2 linked regions of the Oryctolagus cuniculus genome follow. The protein of the gene in region 1 interacts with the protein of each later gene in a pairwise test. Links are inferred from orthologs where the notes say so. Each region holds a gene or a part of one and is shown on either strand. Other genes may lie near its edges.

Evidence for each region.
Region 2: the proteins of TOP3B (region 1) and SPRED2 interact in binary tests that used the Homo sapiens proteins (3 or more experiments, as listed by UniProt). The link is inferred for Oryctolagus cuniculus from reciprocal best matches to the Homo sapiens genes TOP3B and SPRED2.

What each region holds. Positions count from the first base shown.
Region 1 is NC_091452.1:28,916,061-28,919,870, reverse strand, and holds part of TOP3B (DNA topoisomerase 3-beta-1), read right to left. Parts: intron 3,140-3,810; coding exon 2,943-3,139; intron 2,613-2,942; coding exon 2,456-2,612; intron 1,562-2,455; coding exon 1,448-1,561; intron 347-1,447; coding exon 256-346; intron 1-255. UniProt on the Homo sapiens protein: Releases the supercoiling and torsional tension of DNA introduced during the DNA replication and transcription by transiently cleaving and rejoining one strand of the DNA duplex.
Region 2 is NC_091433.1:137,419,401-137,422,982, forward strand, and holds the end of SPRED2 (sprouty-related, EVH1 domain-containing protein 2), read left to right. Parts: coding exon 1-513; 3' UTR 514-2,992; downstream 2,993-3,582. UniProt on the Homo sapiens protein: Negatively regulates Ras signaling pathways and downstream activation of MAP kinases. Recruits and translocates NF1 to the cell membrane, thereby enabling NF1-dependent hydrolysis of active GTP-bound Ras to inactive GDP-bound Ras.

The sequences.
Region 1 (3,810 bases):
ACAGGAGGCTCAGCACCCTCCTGGAGGGCTGCCCACAGGCTGCGCGCTCAGGCTCCACATAAGGTAGGCCTCTGAGCGGCTGGCTGGGGGGCCCCTGTCTGAGGCTCAGCTGCCCTCCGGGCCCCGGCATCACTGCCTGATAGGTGCTGAGCCCAGGGGTGGGGGTCAGCCCCGCCTGCACCCCTGGGGCTGAACGGAATCATCTCAGTGCATCCCAAGCAGTCTTTGGGGCCTCTAGAGAAACGCCCTACATACCCAGAGAAGAGCTGGCCACACGCAACATCTCCACGGTGTTCAGGGCCAGTGGCCTCTGCTTGGCCTTCTCCTTCCTGCTTGTGGCCTCCACCTGCAGGATGAGACGTAGGCAGTGATGCGGAGGTGGGAGGAGCCTGAAGAGAGACAATCCGAGCACGGGGCAAGGGGCCTGCTTTCCTTTGTCTCTCTGCTTCTCAAACCCCCTCTTCCCTGCAGTCTGGAGACCGGGTTCAGTGCTCGTTTGGGACCGGCAAGGGACACACAACAAGCCCTCTTTTCCAGATAATTGTCTAGGGAAGAGAAAACCCGGAGGAGTGAGCAAGAGGCAGGAAGAAGGGGCTGCAGGCATGGCTGGCAGGAAGCCAGGACTTTCACGTGACATCACACAATTGTTCAGTGTGGACAACTCTCTTGAAACTTGCAGCAACGCCACGCAAGACCGACTGGGATCCATCTGTGGGCTGTGCTGGCTGGTGAGCTCCCCCTTCCACCTCTGGAAGGCACTCATCAGAAGACAAGGCAGAAACAGTCCCAGCGACTCTGCCCAGGGCCTGGGCCTCGGCCAATCCCCGGCCACGCCGGATTCCAGGCCCACAAACGTGGGTGCTAATGCTGAGGCTGCCTGTGGATATGCAGCAGTGGAGCCCAGGGTTACGCGGGGTGATCTGGAGGCGGAGCCGGGGCCTCTGCAGGAATGCGACCCATGGGAACGCCTTCAGAAGTTCTGGAGCCTGAGAGGGCTGCATGGGTGGGCCAGCTGGCATGCGAGGAAGGGCAGGGTGGCTGAAGGTGGCCCGGCCACACCTTGATGGCTCTGGCAGCTTTCAGGGCCACGGAGCATCTGCAGAGCATGCCCTGTGCCCGTCACCCCACCCTCTTCCTGAGATTGAGTCACACACACTCTGAGCAGGAAATACAACACCATGGAGGTGCCAGGCGGATGGATCCCAGACAAGTCCCCAACTTGCCGTGTGGCCCTGGCCAAGCTCATCACAGAGGTCCCTCTGCAGCTACTAGCCCCCGAGATCACAGAGAAGGGACACCTGTGACATCTGCCCACTGGGTCACGTGGGAAGGGCCTGGCAGGTCCCAGGTGTGGACATGGGTGCCCCACAGCTGCCGCGTTGGGAGAACTATCTTAGGAGTGGATGCATGAGCCAGGGGGACAGGTGTGGGTGGGGCGGGGCCATACCTGGGCTTCCTTCTCCTGCTTTGTCATGTTTAAGAACATCTGTGCGATCTCCCGGTCGAACACTCTCACTCGGTCCCAGTCCAGAAGCAGCGACCTGTCTTTGTCGACGTTCACCTGCAGGACGGAGGACAGGAGGTGAACACATGAGGAGAAGCGGGCGGCGAGCCCAGCGCCTGGGCTGGGCCTTGTCTGGGAGCCACGCAGCCCTGGCGCTGGCGTCTGCACCTGCTCAGGTGTGCTGATCCCGGCCTGAGCCCTGGTCTCGCTCAGGGTGGGTGGGGTGGCAAGGCTGACGGTATCACATCCTTAGTAGCACCTGAGCCTCTGCCGCACACCCAGGGTCCCTGTCAGTCACAGCAGCTCCAGTGTCATGTTATAAATCCTACAGCACGCGTCTGTGGAGGGTTTTATTTGAGGAAAGCGCCCTAGGACTTCCTAAAAAAATTATTTTTGTTTATTTGAAAGGCAGAGAGACAGAGATGAGATGTCCCACCCGCCGATTTCGCTCCTCAAGTGCCTTCACAGCCGGGAGCTGGGAGCTGAAGCCAGTCTCTCAAGGGGGTGGCGGGGACACAGGTGCTTCAGCCATCACCACTGCCTTCCAGGGTGGGCATCAGCAGGATGTTGGAACTGGGAGAGAGCTGGGACCTGCACCAGCCACTCGGATATGGATATGGGACGCAGCGTTCCCAGGACTGTCTGAACTGCTACACCTGGCTTTCTAGAATTTCCAAAAAGTTTAAAAGCTCAGGGCCTTGGTCCAGTGATCAGATGTGATTTTACCCTCGATTGCCAGAGCCAGCCTTGTCCCCACTCATCCAAATTCAGCGTCCCCAGGCTCAGCCTAGCCGGGGGCACCACAGGCCCACAGTGGCACCCTTACCCCTGAGGCCTGCAGGAGGAGGATGATGGTGATGACACAAGGCTTTCAGAGTCCACCCCCCCCAAACCCAGACACACACACACACACACACACACACACACACACACACAGAGCAGAGGAGGCACCTTGGCCTGCAGCACCCAATAGGCCTCCGGCTTGAAGGACTGGATTTTGTCATGCCTCTCCACACAGAAGCCCAGCGTAGGAGTCTGGCACGGCCCAAAGGAGATGAGAGAGCTGTCCAAATCGCCGTATTTCCCCTGGAAGTACTTGGTCTGGAACCTGGGTGAGGGTGGGGTGCGAGAGAGAAGCCATTTGGTTAAGGATTTGCCTGAGACCCCACCGTGAGTGCCCCCGGGGCTGGGGTGGTGAGCGCAGGGCAACCGGAGGTGGCAGCAAGAGGCAGGGAGGAGCCCTGGGGAGGAGCCACGCGTGCACGGCTGGGAAAGCCAACAGGAACACGAAGCTGGGTCCCAGTGGGCCAGGGAGCCCTGCTAATGGGTAGCCCTGCCACACCCCCTCAGGACCCGCGTGCCAGTGGGCCCACGCCGCCTATCCAGCAGCGGCCGGCACAGTGAAAATGCCGAGGCGCAGGGCAGGCACCCAGCGCACCTGGTGAAAGCACAGCCGATGCGCAGGTCCAGCTCCTGGCGGGCGTCCACCGACAGCGCCTCGTTGTGGTCCGGCTCGCCCAGGCGGGCCATGGCGTTACAGATGTCTGTGTCTGTGATGGAGCTGAACCTGGCCCGGAACACAGTCTTCTCGCCGCCGTGGGCCTTATTCATGACGGGGACGACGGCATCAAGGACCTGGTGGGAAGCCATCCGGCTGGGATCGCCTCTGCCCCCCATCTCCTGTCCCACCCCTCAGCCGTCAGGCCCGGCTCCTTCTGGGGCCCAGCCTCAGCACGCGTGTGGCCCCCTTCAACAAGACCCCTGCCGTCTTCCTGCCTTTCCAGGAGCCTCCATCTTGCGCAGACCCCTCACCCACGGCTACATTGCCATTCACATGCCCCTCCCCACTGCCGCCCTGCAAGCTGCCCCCCACCGCTCCTCCCCCTGCTGCCAGGCACACAAGGGACCTTGCAGTCCCCAAATCCACTGGAAGCCTACTCTTAGGAGGAGGGTGTGCTGGGCGTAGGTACGTGAGACTTTGAAGAAACTGGAGAAATATAGGGCAGGAAAAAAGCCCAGCAGAGGCAAAGGCCATGGCCAGTGGGAAGGGGCCAGGTGGGCCCAGCTGCGGCTTGGGGGTGGGGGTGTGTGGGGTCCCACAGCTGAGACTAGGAGGGCTGTGCGGAGGGAGGGGACAATGTGTGAGCGAGTCTGCTCTCGTTGGAACCACCTCCTGCATCCTGAGTTTGCCAAGCCCTGGGCCGCACTGGGGGTGCCAGGGCGTCTGGGTGACCCTGTAAAGACCCACAGCCTGAGGGGCACTGTGGGAGGAGCAGTTGGGTTGCAGCCACCTGCTTTCCTGGAGG
Region 2 (3,582 bases), on another chromosome or scaffold:
GACTCGTACGTGCGCTTCGCCAAGGGCGAGGTCCCCAAGCACGACTACAACTACCCCTACGTGGACTCCTCAGACTTCGGCCTCGGCGAGGACCCCAAAGGCCGCGGGGGCGGCGTGATCAAGACACAGCCGTCGCGGGGCAAGTCCCGGTGGCGGAAGGAGGACGGCGAGCGCTCCCGGTGCGTGTACTGCAGGGACATGTTCAACCACGAGGAGAACCGGCGGGGCCACTGCCAGGACGCTCCCGACTCGGTGAGAACTTGCATCCGCCGGGTGAGCTGTATGTGGTGTGCGGACAGCATGCTGTATCACTGTATGTCGGACCCCGAGGGGGACTACACAGACCCCTGCTCGTGCGACACTAGCGACGAGAAGTTTTGCCTCCGGTGGATGGCTCTTATTGCCTTGTCTTTCCTGGCCCCCTGTATGTGCTGTTACCTGCCCCTTCGGGCCTGCTACCACTGCGGAGTGCTGTGCAGGTGCTGTGGGGGCAAGCACAAAGCGGCCGCCTGACTCGGCGTCTCTCACGCGCTCCTCTCCTCCTGCCCCGGGACCCTGAGGCACCATTCCAGCCCCGGGAACCTGCCCGGGGGGCTCTCAGCTCCCTCCGCCACCGCCCTGCGGCAGCCGCACACACCCACTCACACACAGTGTTCTGAGGAAAGGAACTTGGGCCTGGACTCTGGTGTATTATTAACAACCTGTAATCAAGCTGTTTTATCCACGCGGCCATTTCCTGTCTGTCCTCCCCACCTCTTCCAGTTCAAGGGCGTCTGCAGTGGGAACTGCTGCGGATTTGGGGCTGGGTTTTCCCAGACCCGGTCTTTCTCTCGGTCCGGCAGCAGGTTCCTGCGGAACCCTGATCCCCGGATGATGCGACCCTACCGGAAGTATTTTAACCTGCAGTCAGTTATTATGTATAGGAGGTGAGCTAGTTAACAAACTTGTACCATAAAATATCGCTTTAACTCTTCTAAAGCCAAATTTCCCATGAAAGCTGCAGTTTCTCTAAGTCCATCATCATTTTCTGTCCCTGCCTCCCCCCACCCCTCCTCGTGCAAAAATAATAATAATAACCTGTCGAAATTGTTCACTGATGCAAAACATTCACCATAAAATGAGAATTGAGCCTTAACTTCAGATTAACTCGTGAGAATCAGGAAAACTCCTTCAGCTGCGTCACACCCTCAGACCAGGGCTAGAAAGGGGATATTTCAGGTTTCTTTGAGCCTCCCTGGTTATCCTAAAAATTGACTTTTTTTAACAGTTGTGTTGCCACCACTTGCTAAAAAAAATTAGCAATATTAGAATAAGAGTAAAAATTAGAGTAAGAAATCTTGCTCATGGTTTTGCGAGCCAGATAGTCTATTCAAACACAAACCAGTGCTGTAGGAGCAAGTGGCACTACACTACGGTTGTGGGGGATAAAGCTATAGGAGTTTCTTTCCCTCCCCCTGGTGGCTATTTATAGTAACAGGGTGGGGGGTTTTAAATATCATCACTTCCAAGAGTGGTGGGGTCGCATTTTTGCCTGTGGGTTTATGTTTTCATTTTCATTTTGGACTCAACTTCATGTCACCAAATTCTTCATTTATACTTGGGAAAAAACAAGGCCATATGTAAAAACCCTTCCAATGCCTAAGTGTCTTTCTCCTGCAACTCCAAACCCAGACTTGCCACTTTTCGTGCACAGGTGGTTAGGCCAGCCGGCCAGTTCCACCTGTCACCTTGCCACGTAGGAGGCTTCTTACTTAGCTGGAACAGAGTATTTTTCTAATATATTGGGAGGAAAAGCCAAATCTTCTTATTGAAGAAAAAGGAAAAGTGAAGAGTGGTTACCTGTACCTAGCATAGTACAATCAGAACCTCGTGGAGACCACGGGGGACAGACAGCAGGCCTGTCGACACTGGCTGTTCTTCCTGCCACAGTCCTTCTGTGGGAATCGCCAGCCACTGGCAGGACCCTGTCCTCCTCGCCTCCTTTCCCCTGTCCTTTCTCTCTTGCACACAGGACATAGTCTTCAAGGAAAGTGCTAGCCATGCTGAACCTCCCCGGCAGGGCGTTCAGCCCGCCTGGGAGCCCTACCCGTTTCTTCTGCGTACACACCCAGTGTGCTTCTGAGTTGGTTGGCAGCTCTTGCCATTTGTTGGAGTGACCAGTGGGACCCGGTTCACCATCCATGTGGATCGATGGAAAGAGAGCTAACGGCTTCCCTGCCTGGAGAACAGCGAGACACCCTCCAGCCTCCCGCTCCGACGACGCTGTCGAGACGGCACCTTCTTCCCGCCTGAGGTCTCCCTCAGGGTCTCTCTCTAAGGTCTCCTCTCTACAAAGCACAACACTAATGTATGTGTCCTTAGACTTCCGTTCAAGCGCCCCTATTTATTTCAACAGGAACACACGTTTCAGAGCCACCTTTTGTTTGTCACCTCTGTCGTCCTGCCCACCCTCCTTTGCCCCTCGACCCTTCCTACCTGCGAGTCTTACTCCGCAAATCCTTTTTGGTTTGTGAAGGCAGCGGTTAAGGGCACAAAGACGGCCATGGGGACATTTATGTAAATACGTCTCTCCCAGCACCACCCTGCAGCTGAACAACGTGTAGTGCTTTCCCAAGTCAGCTTTGCCATCATGACGTCAGTCATTTGAGAAAAGTACTCAGATTTTATTTTTGTATCGGTGGTAACAAAACATTAACCAAAAGGTTTTCTGTTGGGAAGCTTCCCTGACCGTCTCCCCTCCCCCACCCAAGCTGTTTGCTCACATTAACAGATTAAAAGTGCCTGAGACATGATCCATTCTTTCCCTGTATATTAAAACCCCGTTGTATTGATTTTTTATAATAAGCCTTTTTACCTCTGTGTAAAAAAATATATATACAAGTGTATGATGTACATTTTAGTTCTTAACTTTTTTTTATGGTTTCTAATATGTATGACCAATGTAGCCATTGCTTTAAAATGTACCATGTAAATATAAACACATCCTATCAGATCACTGACTTGGGGGTGTTTGTGGGGCCGGCGACCGATGAGGGGAGCCATGGAGCCGGGGTAGACATGGCGTTTCTTGCACCCGGGATGGGGTGGGCTTTCCTCTGTGGAAGGGATGTGTGGACACCACTCTGGCTTTTGCGATGCGTCCCCGCCTCTGGTTATGTCATATTCCCCAGGCGGGGGCCGGAGCTTCTTGGGCCTGGCCGCCTCAAGTGAAAGGAATGCTGCGTGTCGCAGCCACCACGGGGAACACCCCACTTCCCAGACCTGGCTTCCCCGCCCGCGCCCCCCAGAGGGAGCAGCTGGGCAGCCTCCAGGTTGCGTTCTACAGGTTCCTGCTGGCCACCGGGCTGCGTGTGGAGTATGGAAGACCATTTCTCACTGAAGACAACCGGGAAGACAACCTGGCCCACTTTCCTTTCCAGTGGCCTGGTGGGTGCTCCGAAGCTCTGGGACCGGCCCCAGGAGGAAGCGGAAGGTGGGGTCTTGGAGGGGTGGTCACAGAGGACCTTCTCCGAAGAGAGATGTTCTCCCTCTTCCTGGAAGGGGTGGCTTTCCCAAGCCCCAGGTGAAGGCGAGAAGCTGGAG